Anolis sagrei: one gene and its partners. The protein of the gene in region 1 binds, or shares a complex with, the protein of each later gene. Links are inferred from orthologs where the notes say so. Each region holds a gene or a part of one and is shown in the gene's direction. Other genes may lie near its edges. The genes, in order: MED16, MED7, MED20 and CCNC.

Region 1 (6,929 bases):
TCATGCTTTAAATAGGATGTTGAGAGAGCTAGGATTTGTGCTCGCTTCGGCAGCACATATACTAAAATTGGAACGATACAGAGAAGATTAGCATGGCCCCTGCGCAAGGATGACACGCAAATTCGTGAAGCGTTCCATATTTTCTTGCCAAAATAGATCCTTCTTTTGCTTACTTTCCATCTATCGATTCCCTTGCCTTTGTTTTTCATAGGCAATGATTTGGATCTTTTCTTTATAGAGCTGCCAAGCTGCAAAACCCGATTGGAAGGCTAAGTAGGGAAATTGGGAAAAGAAAGGCATTATATAGAATCATAGAGTTGGAAGAGACCTCATGGGCCATCCAGTCCAACCCCCTGCCAAGAAGCAGGAATATTGCATTCAAAGCACCCCTGACAGATGACATTATTAATTATATATTAATAATGTCCTGGAGAATCAGATAACAACAACAACAACAACAACAACAACAACAACAACAACAATGTCCTGGAGAATCAGCTAATCATAATCTATATATATATAAATGCTCTGTGCATAACGAGTACCCTAAAAACAAAAGAACCAATGAACGAAATCACACCAAATCTGGCAACAAAACATCTCACAACACAAGGAGTGACCATCACTCAAAAAATTATGATTTTGTCATTTGGGAGTTGTAGTTTCTGGGATTTATAGTTCACCTATAATTAAAGAGCATTCTGGACTCCACCAACGATGGAATTGAACCAAACTTGGCACACAGAACTCCCCTGACCAACAGAAAAAACTAGGAGGATTTGGTGGGCATTGACCTTGAGTTTTGGAGTTGTAGTTCACCTACATCTAGTGAGCACTGTGGACTCAAACAATGATGCATCTGTACCAAACTTAGCATGAATACTCAATATGCCCAAATATAAACACAGATGGAGTTTGGGAGAAATAGACCTTGACATTTGGGACTTGTAGTTACTGGGATTTACAGTTCACCTACAGAAAATGCTGTGTTTTCTGGTGGTCTTTGGCAACCCTTCTGACACCTCCTCGCAAAGTGGTCCCAAACCCCAGGTTGGCAGCTCTATAAAGAAAAGATCCAAAAGTCTGCAGGTGCAAGAAGGTACTTTCCCTCAAAAGGTCAAGGGAGGGGGGCTGGAAAGAGAGTACTTTCCATGACCAAAAAACCCCTTGTATTACCTGAGTATAAAGGTTTGCAAAAAGCCAAGGAGGGCGCGACAGTCTGTGAAATCACTTGCAGAGTTGCTGTCTGTTCACCTCATGCGGATCAGGTTGAATAAACGGTGTCTTACATGAACGTATTGGACTCTGTGGATTTCTTCGAAAAGGGACCCCACACCCTAAACCCGTGATCCTTTACATGTTTAGCCTGAAGAAGAGAAGGCTGAGGGGAGATATGATAGCCATGTATAAATATGTGAGGAAGCCACAGGGAGGAGGGAGCAAGCTTGTTTTCTGCTTCCTTGGAGACTAGGACACGGAACAATGGCTTCAAACTACAAGAAAGGAGATTCCATCTGAACATGAGGAAGAACTTCCTGAATGTGAGAGCCGTTCAGTAGTGGAACTCTCTGCCTAGGAGTGTGGTGGAGGCTCCTTCTTTGGAAGCTTTTAAACAGAGGCTGGATGGCCATCTGTCAGGGGTGCTTTGAATGCAATATTCCTGCTTCTTGGCAGGGGGTTGGACTGGATGGCCCATGAGGTCTCTTCCAACTCTTTGATTCTATGACATCATTATCGTCGTCATCATCATCGTATTATTATTATTATTCTCCAGGGCATTATTATTATTATATTCATAGAATCATAGAATCAAAGAGTTGGAAGAGACCTTTGTTGGACCTTGTACTCTTGGCTGAGTTTGTTTTCCAGCAAATATCGGGATAGTTGAAATCACCCATGACTTCTACATCTCTTCTCTGTGCCTGTTTGGTCAACAGTTGGCAGAAGACTTCAAGTTTTTCCTCCTGGCTTGGAGGTCTGTAGTAGATGCCTACAACGAGATCTTTTTGAGTCCCAGTTCCCTTGATTCTTATCCAGATGCTTTCAAGCTGGTTTCCCGGATTGCTGTCTTGCATCTCTTCTGCAGCATAAGAGTTTTTGACATATAAGGCTACTCCGCCTCCTCTCCCCTTTGTTCGGTTTCTGTGAAAGAGGTTATAGCCCTCGATGTCTACATTCCAGCGATAGGAGTCATCCCACCAGGTTTCTAATAATAATAATTATTATTATTATTATTAGCTGATTCTCCAGGACATCATTATCATCATCATCATCATATGATTCTCCAGGGTATTATTATTATTATATTAATAATAATAATAATAATAATAATAATAATAATATATAATATATTATTATATTCATATTATGATTAGCTGATTCTCCAGGACATTGTTGTTGTTGTTGTTGTTGTTATTATATGATTCTCCAGGACATTATTAATATATAATAATTAATAATGTCATCTGTCAGGGGTGCAATATTCCTGCTTCTTGGCAGGGGGTTGGACTGGATGGCCCATGAGGTCTCTTCCAACTCTTTGATTCTATAATGCCTAAGATCCAAAAAAATGCCTATGAAAAACAAAGGCAAAGGAATCGATAAGCAGTGGTTCTCAACCTTCCTAATGCTGCGACCCCTTAGTATAGTTCCTCACGTTGTGGTGACCCCCAACCATAACATTTTCATTGCTACTTCATAACTGTAATTTTGCTACTGTCATGAATCGTAATGGAAATATCTGATATGCAGGATGTACTGTATTTTCGAATACCCAATATGCCCAAATTTGAATACTGGTGGGGTTGTGGGTGGATTGAGTTTGTCATTTGGGAGTTGTAGTTGCTGGGATTTATAGTTCACCTACAATCAAAGAACATTCTGAATATCACCAATGATGAAATTGAACCAAACTTGGCACACAGAACTCCCATGGCCAAGAGAAAATACTGGGAGGATCTGGTGGACATTGACCTTGAACTTTTGGAGTTGTAGTTCACCCACATCCAGAGAGCACTGTGGACTCAAACAGTGATGGATCTGGACCAAACTTGGCGCGAATACTCTATATGCTGAAATGAGAACACTGGAAGAGTTTGAGAATAATAGACCTTGACATTTGGGAGTTGTAGTTGCTGGGATTTATAGTTCACCTACAATGAAATAAGATTCTGAACCCCACCAATGATAGAATTGGACCAAACTTCCCACACAGAACCCATGATCAACAGAAAATATATGTTTTCTGATGGTGTTTGGCGACCCCTCTGACACCCCTTCGTGACCCCCACAGGTTGAGAAACACTGTGATAGAGGATGGAAAGTAAGCAAAAGAAGCATCTATTTTGGCAAGAAAATATGGAACGCTTCACGAATTTGCGTGTCATCCTTGCGCAGGGGCCATGCTAATCTTCTCTGTATCGTTCCAATTTTAGTATATGTGCTGCCGAAGCGAGCACAAATGCTAGCTCTCTCCACATTGTATTTAAAGCATGACTATTAGCATATTTTAACATTATGGTAACTATAATTTACACCCGAGTTATTCATCGATAACCGGATTGCAAATCTTGTAACATATTTAATCTTATATCTTCCATTTATCTTTCATATTTCAATATTATAATGGAAAAAATCCCGTTTTAATTTCTCCCTTCTTTCCAGTGCTGATGGGAAAACGCATATGCAAATAATACCCTCCCTCTTGGCCCAAGAGTCTTGGGGCTTCTCGCTTAAGGATTTGTCTATTGTATTGCCTGAAGAAAAAAAACAAAACATTGTATTCTACTATGACATGACAACGTTTGAAGACAAACGGAAGGATTTCAATTCTTCACTCCAATTAGATACTTTGAAGAGCGATCGGGAAAGAAGAAAAAAAACACTTCCGTAGAAGGAGTGTATACTTCCGTTGGGGGCCATCAGGCAGTTTTATAGACAACTATATTCTGAGGCGCGCGTGAAACAGAAGAGTTTGCGCAGGCGCAGTGTGGTTGGACGCTTCTAAAAGAACCAGGTGAGTAGGGGTGGGGTGGAAGAGTTCATTTCTAATCGAAAGGGGGGGATTTAAAGCCACACCCGCCTAATCTAAGGTTTTAAAAAGCGTGGAGAGCAGCTTAATTGGAGTGAATGTAATTTTAAAAAAATATCTGATTTCTTTTGTTAATTTCTTTGGCTTTTGATTTCTTGCATTGCTTGGAGCAATGGATGCAATTCAGCCAAAGGCTTGCAATAGCTGCAAATCAGAATTGCATCAGAGTTGATGAACCTAAAATAGATAAGATAGAAGTTTCTTAGGAGATCCGAATAGGATTGTCTTCCAAGTGTAGTCCGTAGGTGACTGTGGAGCCCTATTCTTGATCTGCATGTTCTCCCTTTCCATTCGAAATCTGCAGCACTGCTGGTCACAGCTGACCTCCAGCTGGAGTGCTCAAAGGCCAGGGCTTCCCAGTTCTCAGTTTCTATGCCAGAGTTTTTAAGGCTGGCTTTGAACCCATCTTTAAATCTCTTTTCCTGCCCACCAGCATTCCGTTTTCCGATCTTGAGTTCGGAGTAAAGCAACTGCTTTGGGAGACGGTGGTCGGGCATCCGGACAACGTGGCCGGTCCAGCGGAGTTGGTGGCGGAGGACCATCGGTTCAATGCTGGTGGTCTTTGCTTCTTCCAGCACGCTGATGTTGCATGAAACCTCCCTGGGTAAAATTATTATTTGTTCCTTTTGTGCCTGCAGCAGAGAGTTCCAAAGGCTGCAGGCACTTAAAGTGTACTTGTTTGGCTCTGCGTATGTTCAGACAATCAGGAAACTAGGTACAGACTGACTATAATCACTTAATACAGCGTTTCTCAACCTTCCCAATGAGGTAAAGGTAAAGGTAGTCCCCTGACACTAAGTCCAGTCATGTCTGACTCTGGGGTGTGGTGCTCATCTCCATTTCTAAGCCGAAGAGCCAGCGTTGTCCGTAGACACCTCCAAGGTCATGTGCCCGGCATGACTGCATGGAGCGCCCTTACCTTCCCGCCGGAGCGGTACCTATTGATCTACTCACATTTGCATGTTTTCGAACTGTTAGGTTGGCAGAAGCTAGGGCTGACAGCGGAAGCTCACGCCGCTCCCCGGAATCGAACCTGCGACCTTTCGATCAACAAGCTCAGCAGCTCAGTGCTTTAACCCACTGCGCCACTGGGGGCTCCCAATGAAGTGACCCCATAATGCAGTTCCTCATCTTGTGTTGACCCCCAACCATAACATTAGTTTAGTTGCTCCTTCACAACTGTAATTTTGCTACGGTTATGAATCATAATGTAAATATCTGAGATGCAGGATGTATCTTCATTCACTGAATCACATTTGGCACAAATATGAAATATGCCCACATTTGACTACTACTGGTGGTGTTGGGGGGGATTGATTTTGTTATTTGGGAGCTGTAGTTGCCGGGATTTATAGTTCACCTACAACCAAAGAGCATTCAGAACACCAACGAAGGAATTGAATCAAAATTGGCACACAGAACTCCCATAACCGCCAGAAAACGCTGGAAGGGTTTGGTGGGCACAGACCTTGAGTTTTGGAGTTGTAGTTCACCTACATCTAGGTAGAGCACTGTGGACTCAAACAATGATGGATCTGGACCAAACTTGCCACAAATATCCCATATGCCCAAATATGAACACAGAAGGAGTTTGGGGGAAATAGACCTTGACATTTGAGAGTTGTAGTTACTGGGATTTATAGTTCACCTACAACCAAAGAGCATTCAGAACACCAACGAAGGAATTGAATCAAAATTGGCACACAGAACTCCCATAACCGCCAGAAAACGTTGGAAGGGTGTGGTGGGCACAGACCTTGGGTTTTGGAGTTGTAGTTCACCTACATCTAGGTAGAGCACTGTGGACTCAAACAATGATGGATGTGGACCAAACTTGCCACAGATATTCATATGTCCAAATATGAACACAGATGGAGTTTGGGGGAAATAGACCTTGACATTTGAGAGTTGTAGTTACTGGGATTTAAAGTGTACCTACAACCAAAGAGCATTCAGAACATCAACGAAGGAATTGCATCAAAATTGGCACACAGAACTCCCATAACCGCCAGAAAACGCTGGAAGGGTTTGGTGGGCACAGACCTTGAGTTTTGGAGTTGTAGTTCACCTACATCCAGAGAGCACTGTGGACTCAAACAATGATGGATCTGGACCAAACTTGCCACAAATATTCCATATGCCCAAATATGAACACAGATGGAGTTTGGGGGAAATAGACCGTGACATTTGAGAGTTGTAGTTACTGGGATTTAAAGTTCACCTACAACCAAAGAGCATTCAGAACACCAACGAAGGAATTGCATCAAAATTGGCACACAGAACTCCCATAACCGCCAGAAAATGCTGGAAGGGTTTGGTGGGCACAGACCTTGAGTTTTGGAGTTGTAGTTCACCTACATCTAGGTAGAGCACTGTGGACTCAAACAATGATGGATCTGGACCAAACTTGCCACAAATATTCCATATGCCCAAATATGAACACAGATAGATTTTGGGGAAAATAGACCTTGACATTTGAGAGTTGTTACTGGGATTTACAGTTCACCTACAATCAAAGAGCATTCTGACCCCCACCAATGATAGAATTGGGCCAAACTTGGCACATGATCTACATGGCCAACACTGAATACTGGTGGGGTTGGCAGGGCTGTTTTTGAATTCTGGGAGTTGTAGTTCACCAACACCAAAAAGGAAGAGAAGGACAGGCAGAGAGATTTTGGGCCAAATTCCTACACAGAACCCCCATGACTAACAAAAAAACCCCTGTGTTTTCTGATGGTCTTTGGCGACCCCTCTGACACTCCCTCGTGACCCACCCAGGGGTCCCGACCCCCAGGTTGAGAAACGCTGCCTTAATAAATTGGTTACCCTGAACTCT
Region 2 (6,968 bases), on another chromosome or scaffold:
TTCCCACAGTCATATAATCCAGAACATCAAGGCAGATACTCCACAATATCTGCTTTGAACTGGATTATCTGAGTCTGTGCTGTCAGATAATCCAGTCCAATGTGTGGAAGGGGCCTGTCAATTGTTTCATGCATAGAGGTTTTGCACTTTTTCATCTGAAAGGGGATTTTCAGTGTATTGTCGAAGGCTTTCATGGCTGGAATCCCTGGTTGTTGTAAGTTTTTCGGGCTGTATAGCCATGTTCTAGAAGCATTCTCTCCTGACGTTTCACCTGCAACTATGGCAGGCTTCCTCACAACCTCTGAGGATGCCTGCCATAGTTGCAGGTGAAACGTCAGGAGAGAATGCTTCTAGAACATGGCTAGACTGCCTCAAAAACTTACAACAATACAGAGATTTCCGGTGTTTGTCACCAATTTCCTTTCACAAAACCAAGGGCCCTTCCACACAGCCATACAACCCAGAATATCAAGGCAGATAATTCACAATATCTTATTTAAAGTGGAATATCTGAGTCCACACTGCCATATAATCCAGTTCAGTGTGGAAGGGGGCCAAGAGTCGACCACGGTATCCTTCTGGGACACCTCGCAGGGATGGGTCTTGGAGGAACTGTTTTGCAGTGGCTCCGGTCATTCCTGGAGGGTCGATCTCAGAAGGTGTTGTTGGGGGACACCTGTTCAACCCCACAACCATTGTCTTGTGGGGTTCCTCAGGGCTCAATATTGTCTCCCATGTTGTTTAACATCTACATGAAGCCGCTGGGGGAGATCATCCGGAGTTTCGGGGTACGGTGTCATCTGTACGCGGATGATGTCCAACTCTGTCACTCCTTTCCACCTGCTACTAAGGAGGCTGTCCAGGTCCTGAACCGGTGCTTGGCCGCTGTGACGGTCTGGATGAGGGCGAACAAATTGAAATTGAATCCAGACAAGACAGAGGTACTCCTGGTCAGTCGCAAGGCCGAACAGGGCATAGGGTTACAGCCTGTGTTGGATGGGGCCGCACTCCCCCTGAAGACGCAGGTTTGCAGCTTGGGTGTGATCCTGGACTCATCGCTGAGCCTGGAACCCCAGGTTTCGGCGGTGACCAGGGGAGCATTTGCACAGCTAAAGCTTGTGCGCCAGCTGCGCCCGTACCTTGGGAAGTCTGACTTGGCCACGGTAGTCCACGCTCTGGTTACATCCCGTGTAGACTACTGCAACGCTCTCTACGTGGGGTTGCCTTTGAAGACAGCTCGGAAGCTCCAACTAGTCCAACGCTCGGCAGCCATGATTTTAACAGGAGCGGAGCGCAGGGAGCATACAACCCCCCTGTTGCGCCAACTCCACTGGCTACCGATCTGCTACCGGGCTGAATTCAAAGTGCTGGCGTTGGCCTTTAAAGCCCTAAACGGTTCCGGCCCAAGCTACCTATCTGACCGCATCTCTGCCTATGAACCCACCAGGACTTTGAGATCTTCCGGGGAGACCCTGCTCTCAATCCCGCCTGCTTCTCAAGCTCGGCTGGCGGGGACGAGAGATAGGGCCTTCTCGGTGGTGGCTCCTCAGCTGTGGAACGCCCTTCCTACGGACATTAGACTAGCACCATCTCTAATGGTATTCCGCAAAAAGGTGAAGACCTGGATGTTTGTGCAGGCGTTTGAGTAATTTAGTGCAATCTGGTAATGGAACATAGGAATGGAACAATGGACGACGAACCTGGACTACGCTTGGATGATGAGAAGATTGGGTACGGTTGTTTTTTGTAATAATTGTGCATTGTAATTGCTTATTGTTAATTTATGGATAATGTGTTAAGTCAATTGTTATATGTTGTATGGAACCACTGCTGTTTCTACTGTTTTTACTGTTTGTGAACCGCTGTGAGTCGCCTTCGGGCTTGAGATACAGCGGTATATAAGTAAAGTAAGTAAATAAATAATAATAATAAGAGTCAGATCACTGACAAAGCAGGGAAAACTCACAACCCAATATAAGCTCACTGCTGCTCTCTGCTGCCATAAGAGAGGCATAACAGGAAAAAATATTACTGTACTTTGCAGTAACAAGGCCTTCCTTTCAAAGTATAAATAATATGTAGCATTATAAATTTCCTTGTTCAGGATCTAACTAACTAGTACTAGTACACTACTATAGATTGTCTATGCAATTTAGTCTTCATGCTGTGTTAGAAACAACAGAAAATATCTTCTGATTTTCTATATAGAAATGGGGTGATATAAAGAAAACGAATATTGCATAAAATATAAAGGAGAGAGGTGCATTATGATCTGGCAAGCTTTCATACTAATGTATATTGTTTTAAAATGCATATCTTATGTTTATGGGTTGCTTTATATATGTGTGCTTTGATTGCTGTTGTTTTGTACTGTATTTAGTATGTTGGAAGCTGCTTTGGTAGCTTCCTTCGTGGGAGAAAAGTGGACTATAAAGAAAGCACCATTAAAGCCTTGGCAGACCACGCAAAAAGAATCTGCGAACCCCACCTCCACCAAGATGAACTGAACCACCTCAACTGGGCTCTACAGGCCAATGGATACTCCACCTCAGACACCAGAAGAGCTGCAAGACCAAGAACAAGCCACGAGAGTCAAGATGAAGATCCACCCAGAGGAAAAGTGTTCCTGCCATACATCAAGGGAACCACTGACCGCATAGGGAAGCTGATGAGGAAACACAACATACAAACAATCTACAAACCCACCAAGAAAATCCAACAAATGCTACGTTCAGCAAAGGACAAGAGGGATCCTCTCACCTCTGCAGGAGTCTACAGTATACCATGCAGCTGTGGACAAGTCTACATAGGGACCACCAAACGCAGCGCCCAAACAAGAATCCAAGAACATGAAAGGCACTGCAGACTACTCCAACCAGAGAAATCAGCCATAGCAGAGCACCTGATGAACCAGCCTGGACACAGCATATTATTTGAGAACACAGAAATGCTGGACCACTCTCACAACCACCATGTCAGACTACACAGAGAAGCCATTGAAATCCACAAGCATGTGGACAATTTCAACAGAAAGGAGGAAACCATGAAAATGAACAAAATCTGGCTGCCAGTATTAAAAAACTCTAAAATTACAACAGCAAAACAACAGAGGGGAAACAATCAGGCACATCTAATCACCTCTCAACAAAATATTGCCCCAGGCACTGCCAGGCCATCAAATGCTAATCAAGGTGGTCAGTTGAAACATTCACACCTAGCTCCAACAGACAAAAGTTCTTTGTCCCACCCTGGTCATTCCACAGATATATAAACCCCTTTTTCCTAGTTCCAATAGACCTCACTACCTCTGAGGATGCTTGCCATAGATGCAGGCGAAACGTCAGGAGAGAATGCCTTTAGACCATGGCCATATAGCCCCAAAAAACCTACAACAACCCAGCGATTTATTGTCGGGTTGCTGTGAGTTTTCCAGCCTGTCTGGCCATGTTCCAGAAGCATTCACTCCTGATGTTTCGCCCACATCTATGCCAGACATCCTCAGAGGTTCTGAGGTTAGTTGGAAACTAGGTAGGTGAGGTTTATATATCTGTGGAATAATGTCCAGGGTGGGAGAAAGAACTCTTGTCTGTTTGAGGCAATTGGCCAGCTTGATTAGCTTGATTAGCTTCAAAGCCTGGCTGTTTTCTGCCTGAATTCTTGTCTGCTTGAGGCCGTTAGGAATTGTGGGAGTTGAAGTCCAAAACACCTGGAGGGCTCAAGTTTGCCATACCATACCATATGTGTATGTATTTACACGTGGGGGGAAGGGGAGGGAATCATACTCCAGAGCTCCTGATTGACGTCAGGAGCAGCCAATCAGAGAGAAGATCCTTTTCTTCCCCTGCTTCAGGGCAAATGCTCGCTCGCTTCCCTCCATCTTTGCCTCCGCGCGGCTCTCGCTGACGCCATCCCACGTCAGCCAATAGGAAAATTAGATGGGGGAGGGGCTGTTTGCCGGATGTACGTCACCAGTTGGCGAGGGAAAGGGAGGAAGGAGAGCGCAGGCGTAGGAAGCGGGGCTTCCGGTGGGAGCGCGGGTGTTTGGTGCTCTTGTTCCGTGGGGAAGCCGAAGAGAGGAGAGGGAAGCCGGCCTCGTCCGAATTGGGAGCCCGGGGCGAGCGGAGAGCTCCTCCGCGGGTGGGTGTCGCTGCCCGTCAAGGGTCTGTAAGGCTCATCCGTTTGGGATACGTCTAACACAAGCCTGGGCAAACTTGGGCCCTCCAGGGTGTTTTGGACTCCAGCTCCCACCATTCCTAACAGCCTCAGGCCCCTTCTGAGGCTGTTAGGAATGAGGCTGTTAGGAATGGTGGGAGTTGGAGTCCAAAACCCTGGAGGGCCCAAGTTTGCCCAGGCCTGGTCTGCCACATACATTTCATGCAGTCTGACACCACTTTAACTGCCTTAGTTCAGTGCTATCGAATCCAGGGTGTTGCAGTTTGTTGAGGCACCAGAGGAGGCTAAAGACCTTATGAATCCACATCTCCCATAGCACTGAGCCATTGAAGATAGGGCCCTTCTAGACAGGCTCAATATCTCAGGATCTGATCCCAGGTATTCTGTTTATCCCAGATTATCTGGCAGTGCGGACTTATATAATCCAATACAGGGAGCATACCACCCCCCTGCTGCGTCAGCTCCACTGGCTGCCGGTCCACCTCCGAGCACAATTCAAAGTGCTGGTCTTGGCCTATAAAACCCTATACGGCTCCAGCCCAGCTTACTTATCCAAACGTATCTCTCTCTACGTTCCACCTCATAATTTAAGATCTTCTGGGGAGGCCCTGCTCTCGGTCCCACCAGCGTCTCAAACATGTCTGGTGGGAACAAGGGACAGGGCCTTCTCAGTGGTGACCCCCCGCTTATGGAATTCGCTCCCCAGCAAGATTAGATCGGCGCCCTCCCTCCTTACTTTTAGGGAAAAAACTAAATACGTGGTTTTGGAACCAGGCGTTTGGCTAGTGGGCACAACAGCACTTTAGGCACTGAACTCAGACAATAGGATTGTTTGAAAATTGGAAATGGCTTTATGACCTGTGATTCTGTGATATGTCCTATGTGGTTATGCAATTTTAACTAATATCACTACTTAATTGTTATGTAATGGATTTCATATTGCTGTTTTATATTGTTGTTTTGATACTGTTGGCATTGAATAGTTGCCTGTGTTAGCCGCCCTGAGTCCCCCCTCGGGGGTGAGAAAGGCGGGGTAGAAATGGTCTAAATAAATAATAAATTTAAAGCAGAAAACCTGGGATAATGGGCCTGTCTGGAAGGGCCCTGGGACAACTGTCACTGTCTGGAGCCTGGAGGATGGCAAAGGAGGAGGGGAGGGAGGCCTTGAACCAATCTTGCAAAAAACAAAAACAGCCCGGTGATGGGGTTGCATTAGGGTCGCCAAAAGTTAGAAAGTACTTGAAGGCATACAAAAACAGTGTTTCTCAGGCTAAAGCTCCCTTTATTATTATTATTATTATTATTATTGACACAAAAGCACAGTATGTCACAGCAAACGAGATCTATATGCTGGATTTCGTATCACAAAATCACAAGTCGAACGCTTCCCAAGCGTCTAGGACTGTGTGATGTATTTTCGAATGATGCGCACAGATCCAAGTAAGGTGGCCTATTGCAATTGACAGATCGTGATTTTGTCAATGTTTATTGTTTCCAAATTTCGGCTGAGATCTTTTGGCACAGCACCCAGTGCTCCAATGACTACTGGGACCACCTGTACTGGTTTATGCCAGAGCCTTTGCAGTTTGGTTTTGAGGTCTTGATAGCGGCTGAGTTTTTCCTCAATGCGACTGTCACCCGGTATGGCGACGTCAATAATCCAGACTTTTTTCTTTCCCACAATCATGATGTCTGGTGTATTGTGTTCCAAAACTTTGTCAGTCTGGATTCGAAAGTCCCACAGTATTTTTGCAGGTTCATTTTCCACGACCTTTGCGGGTTTATGATCCCACCAATTCTTTGCTGCTGGCAGGTGGTACTTGTGACATAAGTTCCAGTGAATCATCTGAGCCACAGAGTTGTGTCTTTGTAGTCCGTCTGTGCAATTTTCTTGCAACAGCTGAGGAGATATTATCATTATCATTATTATTATTATTATTATTATTGCATTTATATTTATACCATGCTTTTTCTCTCCACAAGGAGACTCAAAGCAGCTCACGTTGGAAATGTGTTGCCTTGCCATCCTTTCAAAAACTGCAGATGGAGGGGCTCTGCTCACTTAGTGGTGGTCTCAGTGTTGTCATGTATAATGTTTTTGGCGTATTTTTATAAGTTATCCTTTTTATTCATTTATATCCATCTTTCATGGGTCTCAAGGCAGCTAACAATATATATAAGGGTACAAAAACAATTAAGCAATTTATAAACTTAAAGCATTAAAATATTAAAATGCCTTTGTGTCTGTCTGTGCCTTTGGGTCACCTGTTGACTTATGAATTTCATAGAATTTTCTTCTGTCAGGAATACTCTGCCAATTCCTTCCTCTGAAGTACAGGCTACTGCGCCTGGTATTTGTTGGTGGTCTCCCACCCAAGTATTGACCTGAGCTGACACTTAGCTTCAAGGATTGGAGGGGATCTGGTGCATTTGCAGTATGATAAACCCTTCAAAAAAGGCCTTAAAATACATGTTGATGTGATTGTATTTAAACTGTTTCTCCTTCCCTCACTGGAGCTAAAGTCCCAGCATGCATTATTTTGGGGAGAGCCCTTGAATACTATTGAATGCAAACCAAATTGGAGAATTCTCCCACAGAGAAGTTTCACCAATTTATAATGAGTTATTCAAAATACTTTTGTTGTGGTGATTTTTAAATTACTTTTTATTTCGTTCTTTTGTGTTCTGCTTAATTGTATTCTAGTGTTCTAACCTTTAAAAATACATTTCTCTTAATTTGTATTATAAGTTTCATTTTAATTTTAGTATAACATGTATTTATAATACAGATAGAA
Region 3 (7,722 bases), on another chromosome or scaffold:
GCAGCTGTACCAACCTGGAGAATACCAGAGTGGGATCCTAAAGTATAGAATAGGTTCTTATTGTAATCAATGGGATAGTGGTCAAAAGGGTTTTTTTCCAGCTGCAAAGAAGAACTAGTTATGGACATGCATTGAAAATGCATTGTTATCCTTAGCTTCACTTACTTTGACTTTGACCACGCATGGGTAAACTTGGGCCCTTCAGGTGTTTTGGACTTCAACTCTCACAATTCCTAACAGCCTCAGGCCCCTTCCTTTTCCCCCTCGGCTGCTTAAGACACATGACCTTGGAGGCGTACGGTCTTCGGCTTAGAAATGGTGATGAGCATCATCTCCCAGAGTTGGGTACGACTAGACAATGTCAGGGGAAACCTTTACCTGTATAGTATTAGATCTAATTTTAATAGCAACTCCCATGCTACCAGAAACTACAGAAATTGCCATTTATCTATCCCATGACTTAACAGAGAGTCTACTGCAGGGGTCCTCAAACTTTTTAAACAGAGGGCCAGGTCAGAGTCCCTCAAACTATTAGAGGGCCGGATTATAATTTGAAAAAAAAAAAACACGAATGAATTCCTATACACTTAAAAACAATACAATAATTATAATGAAGAACAATTTTAGCAAATATAAACTTATTACTATTTCAATGGTAAGTGTGTGCCTGCTTTTAGCTGATGAGATAGGATTGTTGTTGTTGTTGTTGTGTGCTTTCAAGTCATTTCAGACTTAGGTAGACCCTGAGCAAGGGCCGGGTAAATTACCTTGGAGGGCCGCATCCGGCCCCCGGGCCTTAGTTTGAGGATCCCTGGTCTACTGTATATGGTTGAAACATCTTATGGCAATGCTATGAAAATACAGTTAATATCACCCTTAGTTCATTTACTTGGACAAAATATAGTAGACTCTGAGTTAACCACAACTCAAGCAGCCAGAACTCTCGGGTAACCGGGGGGGGGGGGGGGGATCAAAGAAATAATGTTGTTGAAGGCTTTCATGGCCAAAATCACCGGGGCCCCTTCCACATAGCTGAATAAAATCCCACATTATCTGGGATATATGGCAGCGTGGACTCAGATAAACCAGTTCAAAATAGATATTGTGGGATTTTCTTCCTTGATATTCTGGGTTATATGGCTGTGTGGAAGGGCCCTGGGTTGCTGTGAGTTTCGGGCTGTAATGGCCATGTTCCAGAAGCATTCTCTCCTCACATTTCGCCCACATCTATGGCAGGCATCCTGAGAGATTGTGACATTTGTTGGGAACTAGGCAAGTGGAGTTTACAGGCTTTGAAGCTGCAAGCCCATTCAATGTTAATCAAGGTGACCGATTACAACATTCACACTTGCCTCCATCAGACAAGAGTTATTTCTCCCACTCTGGACATTCCACAGATATATAAACCTCACTTGTCTAGCTTCTGGAACATGGCCAGACAGCCCGGAAAACTCACAACAATCCAGTTAAACAAAACTTTTGCTGTGTTTTGTAACATAACCAATTGGGAAATGACGTTTACAACCCAGAAACAAACATTGTGTTACACAGTGTGATAGAAAGGCAGAGTTAGGCCTATTTTTATTACTTGGCTGTACTGAAGGAGTTGGGGATGATGGCAGTTGTAGTCCATCGCATCTGGAGGATGGCGGGGTGTTTGGTTTGTTTAATCCCAGGATGGGCTTAATAATGTGATGTCACGTGCTTTTTGCCCACTCACCCAGGACGGTGGTCTTCCTCTTGGGCTCCTCTCTGCCGGAAAGGCCATGCTCGGCCTGCAGCTCCTCCTGCTGGATCCGCGCCTGCTCCAGGATCTTCCGGGAGAGCCGCTCGTCCACGTACTTCTCCTCCTCCTCCTCCTCCTCTTCTCCTCCCGCTCCCCCGCCATGCAGGCCGGCTTTGCCCCTCCGCTTCACCCGCCGACTGGGCTTCACCGCCTCGCCCTGCAGGATCTGCTCGGCCAGAGGCACGCTCACCCCGGCCGCCGAGGAGGCCCCTCGCACCCGCTTCTCTTTCGGCATGATCGCCCAGACACGTGGGGGAGAGGAAAGGCTAAGACGCATGCGCCGGAAAGAGAAGGCCAGAAAAGGGGCGGGGCTTGCGACCGCAGGGGCGGAATAGATATAGAGCAGAGCTTTCCCAACTTTTCACGCTTTTGAGACCAATCAGGCGTGGGCAAACTTGGGCCTTCCGGGTGTTTTGGACTTCAACTCACACAATTCCTAGCAGCCGGTAGGGCTCAAGTTTGCCCACATCTCTAATATTTTGCATATACATTTGGAAAATTGTATATGCAAAATATCAGACAGATGGAAAGCTATTTAACCTCAGCAGACTGAAAGCCAAAACCAAGGTGACAACATCTATTACAGAAGTCCAATATGCTGATGATAACATCGTCTGTGCACATTCAGAATTTCTACATGCCACTCTAAACACCTTCGCAGAAGTATATGAAAAGCTTGGCCTGTCATTGAACATCGAGAAAGCCAAAGTGCTCTTCCAGCAGTCACCAGCCAATCCCTCTCCAATGCCAGAAATATAGCTTAATGGTGTAACATTAGAAAATGTTGATAATTTCCACTACCTTGGCAGCCACCTCCCCACAAAAGTCCACATTGACACTTAAATACAACACCGCCTGAGCTCTGTGAGTGCATTTTTACGAATGAAGCACAGAGTGTTTGAGGACTGGGACATCTTGAAAGCATGGCTATTTCAGTGTGCCTTCCCTGAATAAAGGAAACAATGCCCTAATTTGATCAATTTTCTGCAATATGTCCTCTGAAGCACTACCCGTTGGATTTATTTCCCTACATTACTCTCTAACCGCCCCACCCCCCGTTTAGATACCCTACTTCTGTTCACACCCAGTATTTTAAAAATTTAATCTACTACATCCGGCCTTTCCCACAGTCTTTTAAATCTCTTGTGTGTTACTGCTTATATGTTATTTATGATATTGTACTGTGTTTTATTTGCTTGCTTGCCTTGTTTTCTACTGATGTATTTTGTTGGGCTTGGCCTCATGTAAGCCGCCCGAGTCACCTTGGGGAGATGGTGGCAGGGTATAAATAAAGTTATTATTATTATTATTATTATTATTATAAACTAGCTGTCCCCTGCCACGTGTTGCTGTAGCCCAGTCTGTGCATATGTGTTTTGTGTGTGTGTATATATGTGTTTATGTATGTGTATATATTTGTGTATATAAGTGTGTGTATATATGTGTATTTATATGTGTGCATGCATATTGTGTATATGTGTGTGCTTGTCTATATGCATATTTGTGTGTGTGTGTGTGTGTGTATATATATATATATATTATTTATTTTATTAATCAATTTTATATACTTCCACTCGCCGAAGTCTCGGAGCGGTTTACAATATACACAAGAAAAACTTTGATCAACAAAATTCAAATGCCACCCTAAATAAATAAGTTTTACAAGCTCTACGAAAAGCAAGTAAATCTCGGAGAGCTCCTGTTCCTGCTGGCAAAGCATTCCATAGATAAGGAGCCACCACCGTGAAAGTTCTACGCCTAGTAGACATCAGGTGAATGGTCCTAAAATTGGGAACTTCAAGGAGATTCTGATCGTCTGAACGAAATATTATGTGGATATGTATATGTGTGTGCATGTGTATATGTATATCTGTGTGTATCTGTGTGTATGTGTATGTATGTTTGTGTATATGTGTATATCTGTGTGTGTTTGTGCATATATATATGTGTGTGTGTATGAATGTGTGCATGTGTATATGTATATGAGTGTATGTGTATCTGGACACATTGACAAGCTGGAATGTGTCCAGAGGAGGGCGACTGGAGAACAAGCCCTATGAGGAGCGGCTTAATGAGCTGGGCATGTTTAGCCTGAAGAAGAGAAGGCTGAGAGGAGACATGATAGCCATGTATAAGTATGTGAGAGGAAGTCATAGGGAGGAGGGAGCAAGCTTGTTTTCTGCTTCCATGGAGACTAGGACGCAGAACAATGGCTTCAAACTACAAGAAAGGCGATTCCATCTGAACATGAGGAAGAACTTCCTGACTGTGAGAGCCATTCAGCAGTGGAACTCTCTGCCCCGGAGTGTGGTGGAGGCTCCTTCTTTGGAAGCTTTTAAACAGAGGCTGGATGGCCATCTGTCAGGGGTGATTTGAATGCAATATTCCTGCTTCTTGGCAGGGGGTTAGACTGGATGGCCCATGAGGTCTCTTCCAACTCTATGATTCTGTGTATATGTAAATATGGTATTTTTGGGGGGGTTTTAAGTCTGTTCGGCTGGGGTTTTGTGTGTGTTTGTGTGTGTGTTTACAGGTGATGGTCACACGTTGGACTGTTAGGTGTATTGTGTCTAAATTTGGTGTCAATTCGTCCAGTGGTTTTTGAGTTATGTTAATCCCACAAACGAACATTACATTTTTATTTATATAGATGAAATACAATTTTAAACCTAAATATACGTATATATAAAGTAGATCTTAGGAAGTTGTTTCTTGATTTAAAACGTCAATATGCTGGCTGATATCCGAACAGAGGATGGGCCGGAGGTGTCAATACTTTCCTCCCTACAGGAAAGCCTGGCTCCACTTTCTTTTGCTGGATGGGCAATGCAGGACCACCTGAGTTGGAGGTGGGCCTGCATTGCCTGCTCCGGCCGCCAGGGGGCCGCTTCCGAGAGGAGGCGGCGAGGACGACACTCGCCCGCATTCCCCGCGATGACGTCACTTCCTTTCGGCGTTCTTCCCTCCGAGGAGGCGAGGCTGTGTGAGGCTCCGCGAAGACCGCCGGGCAGAGGGCGCTGAGTGAGGCTGAGAAGTCTTGGGCCACCTTTCCGCCCGGGTTCACGCCTCCCCCGCGGAGGAGACAGCCGAGGAAACATGGGTGTCACCTGGTACGGCTTCCCAAGGCTGCTGTAGCCTTAGCCAAACATTTTACCTTGAGACCGTTGCATGTTTTTGCTTCTCAGTGTCGGCCAAGATGGAGGCCTGCTGCGATTGTGCTTGGATGTACATTCGTTTCAAGAATGAGGGGTCGGGTATGGAGTGTAACGTGTGAACGAGCGAATGACGAGTGTCAGGGGCAGGAGAGGGACCTGGTGACAGGTAGGGTTACTACAGGCATGGGCAAACTTCGCCCCTCCAGGTGTTTTGGACTACAACGCTCACAATTCCTAACAGCCGGTAGGCTGTTAGGAATTGTGGGTGTTGTAGTCCAAAACACCTGGAGGGCCGAAGTTTACCCATGCCTGAGTTACTAAATCTCCTCAATGTAATGCCAGGGGAGTATCTGCCCCTCATCCGAATTGCTTGGCGCCAGACAAGTTTGCGATTTCAGGTATTTTTGTGTGTGGGATTTTTTTTTTTTTGCATCGCCTAATTGCTAAGCCTAATCAAACCAGTCATTTATGTTTCACGTACACATAACATGTATATGAAACATAAATGTTGTGTTTAGGCTTGGCTCCCATCTTCAAGGTGTTAGTAAATAAGATATTGACACCACCTGCATGTAACACAGGTATGGAGAAACCCACGCCCGGGAGCCGAATGCGGCCTCTTGGACTCTTTTTGCAGGCCCTCCTCTCGCTCACCATCCTATCCTTCCTTCCTTCCCTCTTTCCTTCTGCCTTTCCCCCTTCCCTCCTACCCTTCCAGTCTTCTGTCTTTCTTCCCTCTTTCTCTCCCTCTTTCTCCTTCCTTCCTTCCCTTTTGTCACAGGGAGGAGGGAGCAAGCTTGTTTTCTGCTTCCCTGGAGACTAGGACGCGGAACAATGGCTTCAAACTACAAGAGAGGAGATTCCATCTGAACATTAGGAAGAACTTCCTGACTGTGAGAGCCGTTCAGCAGTGGAACTCTCTGCTCCGGAGTGTGGTGGAAGCTCCTTCTTTGGAAGCTTTTAAACAGAGGCTGGATGGCCATCTGTCAGGGGTGATTTGAATGCAATATTCCTGCTTCTTGGCAGGGGGTTTGACTGGATGGCCCATGAGGTCTCTTCCAACTATGATTCTATGATTCCTTCCCTCTTTCCTCCCTCCCCGCATTCCCTCCACCCTTCCTTCCATCCATCCTTCTCTTCTTCCCTTTTTACCTTCCTTCCTTTTCTTTTTCCTTCCTTCTTTCCTCCTGGGGCATGTTTACCTGGGGGAAGAGAAGGTAGAGAAGGAACATGAGAACCAATTTTCAAGATCTAAAAGGGTGTCCCATTGAAGAGGAGGGGGAAAACCAACTTTCTGCTGCTCTAGAGACCAGAACACAAGGAAGCAATGGGTTCAAATGGCAGGGGAAAAGATTAGGAAGAATTCCTGAAAGTAAGAGCTGTTGGAGAGTGGCCTAGGCTGCCTGGGAGTGTGGTAGAGTCTCCTCTGGAGACTTTTCCGCAGAGGCTGTCTGTCGGGAATGCTTTAATTGTGCCTTCTTGCTTGGCAGGGGGTTGGACTGGATGGCCCTTGAGGGTCCTTTCCAGCTCTAGGATTCTATATCAGGAGTATGCAGTATGGGGTCTAATAGATACACTTTTTCCTCTCGTATCCACCTCATCCTGACCAAGGCTAACCTTTTGGGATCCAAATGTTTCCCATCTTTCCTTTGCTTTCTGCCTCCGAAAGAGAAGAGGAAGGGGAGGAAAGGGCAGGGAGGGGACTTGGAGAGAATCCCCCTGCTCCTGGCCTGCCCACCCTGCTCCAGCCTGCCATGAGGCCCCCAAGTTAGAAAGTTTGCCCATGCCTGATGTAACATATTGAAGATGGGAGCCAAGCCTAAACACAGCATATATGTTTCATTTACACATTATACACGTAGCCTGAAGGCACCTTTATGCACAGTATTTTAAATAATTTGGTACATTGAACCATCAGAAAGCAAAGGTGTCAATATCTCAGACACATGTGGGAAATTTGGGATTTCTGGATAAAAGATACTCAACCTGTAGCATTAGATTGCCGTTAATGCAGTTTTAATACTCCCTTGGGTGGAAAGGGATCATGAGTGGAAAAAGTTAAACCCTGATCTAGAGCACCATTTGTTGGAAAGCTAGGAAATAAATGTAAGAGATAGATAAATTAGCTTTGGCTTTCATTTTTCTTTATTCACCAATGTGAAGTGAAAGGGCAAAGAGGCTTGGAGGAGATGGAATGTTTTAAAAGGCATTTTCTCTCTGTTTTGTATCAGACATACACAATGCAGCATAATATAGAAATCTGGATATGGGTCTAAACATCTGATTACTTGTCTTTCTCTGTTCTCCTCCCTTTGTTATCTTCCACCTCATTGAAGTCTTTGTAAGGTTCTTATGGCAGGAACCTGACTTTTTGTTCCATTTCCTCCTCTTTCTCTTATTATAAGGCATTGAGTATGTTAGTAGGTAACATGTAGTAGTATGTTACTATATAAGATAAACTATTTTATTTGGTAGCACATGAAGTGGAAAGTAGCAGTGATTCTTACCGTGTTTTGAAACTTATTTTCATCAATGGCTTTTCTCCCTTGTTAGTGTATCTCAGATGCCCATAGCAGAAGGGAAAAGTGTCCAGCAAACAGTTGAAATCTTAACACGAAAACTAGAACTACTTGGAGCAGAAAAACAAGGAACATTCTGTGTAGACTGTGAAACATACCACACTGCAGCTTCCACAATGGGCAATCAAGGTAAAAATTAATTTTTCTACCATAATTGGTGCATTCACTTCCTTCAAGCAAATGTAATGGCATTCAATTTGTA
Region 4 (6,923 bases), on another chromosome or scaffold:
AGAAAGCCCTTAATGTGTGCATCAGTACTCTGTGATTTCTGTATAATCATCATCCATGCCTCAAATTGGTTCCAGGATTTTCTACGTAATCATCAGTAAAATAACTTTTAAAAAACAGTTTGAAACTGTATGAAATGATCAGTGTAGAAGGGGCCTGCAAAAACTTACATTATGTATTTTAAACTGATAGTTCATGTTGTATTTTGATATGCTGCTGTCCCCCACTATGTGGAGATAATAGGTAACAATAATAATAACAACAGTAATGATTGCATCAGCTTCTTTCTCTCAGGGTATATCTACACTGTTGAATTAATTCAGTTTGGCACCACAGTTTGCCATGCCTTAATGCTATGGGAGCTTTGAAATGGTTGAACAGCAGCTCTCGGAAGCTTTATGGGCTCTTACTGCCTATTGCAGGGAAAAACAACTGATCCCTAATCCATCTAAAATGCAGACATGTGTTTTTCACCTTAAGAACAGACTAGCATCTCAAATTCTGAGGATTACCTGGGAAGGAATCCCACTGGAGCCTTGCAGCACACCCAAATACCTGGGAGTTACCTTGGACCGTGCTCAGACCTATAAGAAGGACTGCTTGAATATCAAGCAAAAAGTGGGTGCTAGAAATAATATCATACAAAAGCTGACTGCCACAATCTGGGGATCACAACCAGATACAGTGAAGACATCTGCCCTTGCACTTTGCTATTCTGCTGCTGAGTGTGCATGCCCAATGTAGAATATTTCAGGATGTCTATGCCCCACACCACTGCAGAAATTATACTGTTTAGCCGGTATTGCACCACCTGTTATCCATTGGTAAGTAGCAGCCAGTAAAGAAAGGACCAAGGCGTCGACATATCCAGCCCATCCTTTGTTCGGATATCAGTCAGCAAGCAAATGCCTTAAATCAAGAAATAGCTTCTTAAGATCTACAGAGATACTCGCAGGAACACTTCAGCAAGCTAGAGTCCAAAAGTGGCAGGCTAAAACCCGAAACATCAATCAGTGGCTGATACCGAATGAGAAACTCCCTTCCTGGGCACACAGAAGACTGGGTGACTTGGAAAGCACTGAACAGACTGCACTCTGGCACCAAGAGGTACAGAGCTAACCTTAAGAAATGGGGCTACAAATTGGAGTCCACGATATGCAAATGTGGAGAAGGGCAAGTGTGTAGTAAGGGACCACTTACTACAATGCAGTCTGAGTCCTGCCACATGCACAATGGAGGGGCTTCTTATAGTGACACCAGAGGCACTCCAAGTGGAAAGCTTCTGGTCAAACGAAATGTAGGCCTGTTTATTGCCCTGCTTCTCTCCTTAGGGTTCCATTTGGTGCATGTTTTCAATGTTCTGTTTATGTGAGCCTTTTCCCTTTGTGTGTGTTTCACATGGCTAAATTTTTCTAACACTAAGACAATCTTCAATTGATTTCTAAGGCTAAGACTATTTATTTAATCGAACTATTCTTCATACTTCATACCTGCACTTTCCTATCAGCCCTGCCCTTGCAACTGTTTTGCACAAGCTCCTGCCTCGCCCCTCAGCTCAATATATGGCCTCTAGGTTAGGTTATTGGATGTTTTGATTGTGGATGGTTATGTTTTTATGATGTTTTGTAGTTGAATTTTACTGTGTTATATTTTAAATTTCTGCTTGTCTGGGTTTGGTCCCCATGTAAGCCGCCCCGAGATGGTGGCGGGATACAAAAGTAAAGTTATTATTTTATTATTATTGCTATTATTTATTAATAAAATGAAATCAGGTCCCTTGTCCCCTTCAGTATCATAGAGCCAAGGTATTAACTTTGTTTGAAGCTTTTAAAAACATTATAAACTAGCCGTCCCCTGCCAAGCGTTGCTGTGGCCGTCTGTGTATATGTGTTTTGTGTGTGTATATATGTGTATATGTATTTGTGTATATGTGTGGTTTTGCGCATGCGTTGTAATGGTTTTTGTTTTTTGGCTTTTTAAGTCTCTTCTGCTGTGTTTTTCAGTGGTTTTATGAGTGAAGAATCAGAAACTCAACATGCCTTTGGATGAAGCTGTGCAGAGATCCAAGGAGATCATTCAAAGGAGATCATTCCAAGGTCACTAATTGGCCTGATAGGTGTATTGTGTCCAAATCTGGTGTCAATTTGTCCAGTAGTTTTTGAGTTATGTTAATCCCACAAACGAACATAACATTTTTATTTATATAGATACATAAATACATTTTAAATACATTATAACTTTAACATTATAACTTTATTTTCAATTTGCTTCAGACACGATAAATAAAGATACTATGGGATCCTGGGAGCTGTAGTTTAGTGAGGCACCAGCCCTGTTTGGCAGAGTAGGCGAGAGACCTTATAAAACTACAACTGCCAGGACTCCCTAGCATTAAGCCGTGGCAATAAAAGGCATTCATTTTACAGTGTGGGTTCACCCTCAACTAATCTGCACTTAGGCAATCCCTCGTTGGATGAGTAGGATAGTCTTCCAGGGTCAGTATTCTTGTGGATCCGTAGGTGGCTGTGGAGCCCTATTCTTGATCTGCATCTTCTTCCGCATTGAGGGCAGTGGTTTCCAGGTGGAAGGCGATCTCTGTCGGGGTTGGCTTGATGCGCCTTCCTCTTGGCACGCTTCTCTCTTTCACCCTCCATTCATGCCTCTTCAAATTCTGCAGCACTGCTGGTCACAGCTGACCTCCAGCTGGAGCACTCAAGGGCCAGGGCTTCCCAGTTCTCAGTGTCTATGCCAGAGTTTCTAAGGTTGGCTTTGAGCCCATCGTTAAATCTCTTTTCCTGTCCACCAACATTCCGTTTTCTGTTCTTGAGTTTGGAGTAGAGTAACTGCTTTGGGAGACGGTGGTCAGGCATCCGGACAATGTGGCCGGTCCAGCGGAGTTGATGGCGGAGGACCATTGCTTCAATGCTGGTGGTCTTTGCTTCTTCCAGCACACTGACGTTTGTCTGTTTCTCTTCTCAAGAGATTTGCAGGATTTTCCGGAGGCAGCGCTGATGGAATCGTTCCAGGAGTTGCATGTGACATCTGTAGACAGTCCACATTTCACAGGCATAGAGCAGGGTTGGGAGGACAATAGCTTTATAAACAAGCACCTTGGTATCCCTACGGATGTTCCAGTCCTCAAACACTCTCTGCTTCATTCAGAAACATGCTGCACTCGCAGAGCTCAGGCGGTGTTGTATTTCGGTGTTGATGCTGACTTTAGTGGAGAGGTGGCTGCCAAAGTAGTGGAAATGGTCAATATTTTCTAATGTTACACCATTAAGCTGTATCTCTGGCATTGGAGAGGGGTTGGGTGGTGACTGCTGGAACAGCATTTTGGTTTTCTCAATGTTCAATGACAGGCTGAGCTTCTCGTATGCTTCTGCGAAGGTGTTTAGAGTGGCTTGTAGATCTTCTTCTGAATGTGCACAGACGACATTGTCATCAGCATATTGTTGTTCTATAACAGATGTTGTAACTTTGGTTTTGGCTTTCAGTCTGCTGAGGTTAAACAGCTTGCCATCTGTCCGATAGATGATTTCCATTCTGGTGGGAAGCTTCCCATCAACAAGGTGAAGTATCATAGTGATGAAGATGGAGAATACAGTTGGGGCAATAATAAAAATGTTGACGCCTGATTTTACCTTAAATGGGTCACTTTGGGACCCACTGCTGTCCAAGTCTGTTGTCATCATGGAGGAGCTCAGGATGTTCACAAATTTATTAGGGCACCCGATTTTTTGGAGGATGGTCCAGAGGGCGGTGCGATTCACTGTGTCGAATGCCTTTGCTCTCAACTAATAAGTCCAGGAGAAGCGGGAATACGGCTTGTCCCTATTGAGAGGGGCGGAACCTTTTTTCCCCGGAACGGATGCGCGCGGCAGCGGAAGCAGGCCGGGACACAGAGTAGGCGCGCGCAGCCCCGGGGCCGAGTCTGCTGCTGCCGCGGCCCTGATGAGCTTGGTGGCCGGGTGGGCGCTGCCGAGTCCTTCCTGTTCCTGGAAGAGAGAGCCCGGGGTGGGTCGGCAGGGAAGAGACCCGGCAGCGAGCCCCGCGCCCTCTTCATGGCAGGGAACTTCTGGCAGAGCTCGCATTAGTGAGTGAACCCCTCGCCCCTCTCTGGTGGGGGGCCCTGGCTGTGGGGGAGCGGGGAGGGGAAGGCTTTTCAGGATGCCACGCCACACACTTCCTGGCCCTGCTGTTTTGAAGGGGGCTCCTGGAATCCCGGGCCACAGGAGGACTGAGGGGTGTTGGCAAACTTGGCAAGGAGAGTGTTTAATTGCTATAGAGCAGGCATGGGCCAACTTGGGCCCTCCCTCCAAGTGTTTTGGACTTCAACTCCCACCATTCCTAACAGCCTCAGGCCCCTTCCTTTTCCCCCTCAGCCGCTTAAGCTGTTAGGAATGGTGGGAGTTGAAGTCCAAAACACTTGGAGGGAGGGCCCAAGTTGGCCTATGCATGCTATAGAGAATAGAGATGATTATGATATTTTTATTTCTCTCTAGAATTGGCACAACATGGACATCATCTGTGCTGTAGAATTAATGCAGTTTGATCCCATTCTTAACTGCCACATATTCAGGATATTCAGGGAATTATAGTTTTGCAAGGTCTCCTACAGGAAAGTGCTGGTGCCTCACCAAAGGACAAAAAACGCCCTCCTCTCCCCTCAATGGCGTAGTGGGTTAAACCATTGTGCCAGCAGAATCCAGGGAGCGGGTTGAGCTCCTGTCTGTCCGCTCCAGCTTCTTATGAGGGAACATTAGAAAAGCCTTCCGTAGGATGGTAACAAATCCGGGCATCCCTGGGCAATGTCCTTGCAGACGGCCAATTCTCTCACACCAGAAGTGACTTGCAGTTTCTCAAGTCGCTCCTGATATACACAAAAAAACCCCCAAAGGACAGAGAAGGCTAAAGACCTTGTAAGATTACAGCTCCCAGGATTCCATGGCATTGAGCCATGTCAGATGGAGTAGAGACAAGCAGCATTAAAATCAATAATCTAGATAGACCCTTTTGTAGAACAGCAATATTAATATCAAATTAAATCCATAGTTTAAAATTGAGTTTTATGTTAGCTGTGAGGTGCTGCCTTTTGGGGCGGAAGGTATAGTGCAGGTTTTAGTATCCCTTATCCTTACCAATTTTTAAAAATAATATTATATTGGCATACATATTTTTCACATATATAAAACAATGTTCAGGGAAAAGCTACACAAAATATCCATATTTACATTACAGCACTAAAATCCAAACATTGCTCAGCGGGATAATATTATATGATATATTTGATGCAATTCCCTTTCAAGGAATTGAATGTTTGTCTTTGTTTTTCTGTATGCTGGAATCCGCCCCAAGTCCTCTATCGGTGGTGTTCAACCTGTGGGTCTCCAGATGTTTGGGCCTTCAATTCCCAGAAATCCTAACAGTTGGCAAACTGGCTGGGATTTCTGGGAGTTGTGGGCCAAAACACCCGGGGACCCACAGGTTGAGAACTATTGTGTTAGTGTGTGGCTGCAGTGTGTAGGCGCGCCACACAAAAGTAACAAGTAGTGTGTAGGCGCGCCACACAAAAGTCTACATGAAATAAGCAATAAAGCGTTTTTTTAAATATATATAAATCCAAAGTTTTCATGAGATATGTTGTGCTTCCAAACATTTTGTTATTACAATTTGTATAAATCTATATATTTTTTTATAAGGAGTTGGTTTAACCTCCAGTTTGCTAGTGAAACTGAATTACTGTGAGGCAAAATGATACATGCCTAAAATGAATGTAACATACATGAAATGTTTGGAAAGCTTTTCTTTAAATATGGAACGCGGGACTAAATAAAAGGGCTGTGCCTGTAGGTACAAAGAAGCTAGAGAACGAGGCCAAGCAGATCTGTGGGAAGGAGCCCAAGAGCAGCAGACTCTTTCTCATGTTTTCACTGATAGTATCTATGATGGTGACAGGACAGTTAAAAATAATGGACCTTTAAATAGTCTGGATCCAATTTCAAATTTGCCTTTGAAATAGCTACCAAAGCAGAAAAATCATAGTTTATCACAGGCCAGCTTTCCCCCCAGTTAGTTACTTTTTCTTATAGCTAATAGTTCAGAAAACAAACCCAAAAGGAAACAAATTACAGTAGGTTGCTGTGAGTTTTCCAGGCTGAATGGCCATGTTCCATAAGCATTCTCTCCAGACATTTAACCCACATATATGGCAGGCATCCTCAGAAAATGTCAGGAGAGAATGCCCATACAGCCTGGAAAACTTGGCCACACAGCTTGGAAATGGCCTAGCAATTCTGGCCATGAAAGCCTTCGACAACACAAATTAACAGTAGTTTTCAATATGATTAATTGAATATGCAGAGAAGTTTGTTATTTTGGCATCAGGCTGTAGAATGAAAGTTGACAAGCATGTTTAATACATGCAATACTCAAAATTGGTTTAAAAGATGTACTCTCTATTTTTTCTTCCTTTGCAGCTTGCAATGGATTTTGGATAAACAAGATCTGTTGAAGGAACGCCAAAAGGACTTAAAATTTTTGACAGAAGAAGAATATTGGAAGCTACAGATATTCTTTACGAATGGTAACATGATTTCAGTTCTAGTTTGCCCCACTGATGTGTGTTGCAGTTGTATTGCTTTGTGCTAACTTCACAAAACATGCAAAATTATAAAGCAAGAAGATTTATCTGTTATGTACCTAGCGAAAAGAAACTTGGACATGCTTGCAGCAGAAGCTTAAGCATTCAGCTTAAATCTAGCACTGTTCAACATAGATTATTTTATTTTCCTACTTAGGTGATGAAACTATCATCACCCCCTTTAGCCCCTCCATTTGTACTGGAGGTCCCCCAGTTTTTAAAAGTAGATTGCAAGAGAATATTATGAAAGGTAGAGGGAGCAGAAATTACACTCCACACTGT

What was found.
Region 2: MED16 (region 1) and MED7 share a complex: the UniProt entries of both Homo sapiens proteins name them as parts of the mediator complex. The link is inferred for Anolis sagrei from reciprocal best matches to the Homo sapiens genes MED16 and MED7.
Region 3: MED16 (region 1) and MED20 share a complex: the UniProt entries of both Homo sapiens proteins name them as parts of the mediator complex. The link is inferred for Anolis sagrei from reciprocal best matches to the Homo sapiens genes MED16 and MED20.
Region 4: MED16 (region 1) and CCNC share a complex: the UniProt entries of both Homo sapiens proteins name them as parts of the mediator complex. The link is inferred for Anolis sagrei from reciprocal best matches to the Homo sapiens genes MED16 and CCNC.

Annotation. Positions count from the first base shown.
Region 1 is NC_090034.1:57,074,389-57,081,317, forward strand, and holds the start of MED16 (mediator of RNA polymerase II transcription subunit 16), read left to right. Parts: upstream 1-3,926; 5' UTR 3,927-4,015; intron 4,016-4,523; 5' UTR 4,524-4,679; coding exon 4,680-4,694; intron 4,695-6,929. UniProt on the Homo sapiens protein: Component of the Mediator complex, a coactivator involved in the regulated transcription of nearly all RNA polymerase II-dependent genes.
Region 2 is NC_090022.1:80,580,599-80,587,566, forward strand, and holds the start of MED7 (mediator of RNA polymerase II transcription subunit 7), read left to right. Parts: upstream 1-3,962; 5' UTR 3,963-4,160; intron 4,161-6,968. UniProt on the Homo sapiens protein: Component of the Mediator complex, a coactivator involved in the regulated transcription of nearly all RNA polymerase II-dependent genes.
Region 3 is NC_090024.1:191,063,466-191,071,187, reverse strand, and holds the start of MED20 (mediator of RNA polymerase II transcription subunit 20), read left to right. Parts: upstream 1-4,717; 5' UTR 4,718-4,882; coding exon 4,883-4,896; intron 4,897-7,494; coding exon 7,495-7,649; intron 7,650-7,722. Other genes in the region: bystin, read right to left, coding at 1,721-2,063. UniProt on the Homo sapiens protein: Component of the Mediator complex, a coactivator involved in the regulated transcription of nearly all RNA polymerase II-dependent genes.
Region 4 is NC_090021.1:99,275,924-99,282,846, forward strand, and holds the start of CCNC (cyclin-C), read left to right. Parts: upstream 1-3,911; 5' UTR 3,912-4,062; coding exon 4,063-4,094; intron 4,095-6,477; coding exon 6,478-6,584; intron 6,585-6,923. UniProt on the Homo sapiens protein: Component of the Mediator complex, a coactivator involved in regulated gene transcription of nearly all RNA polymerase II-dependent genes.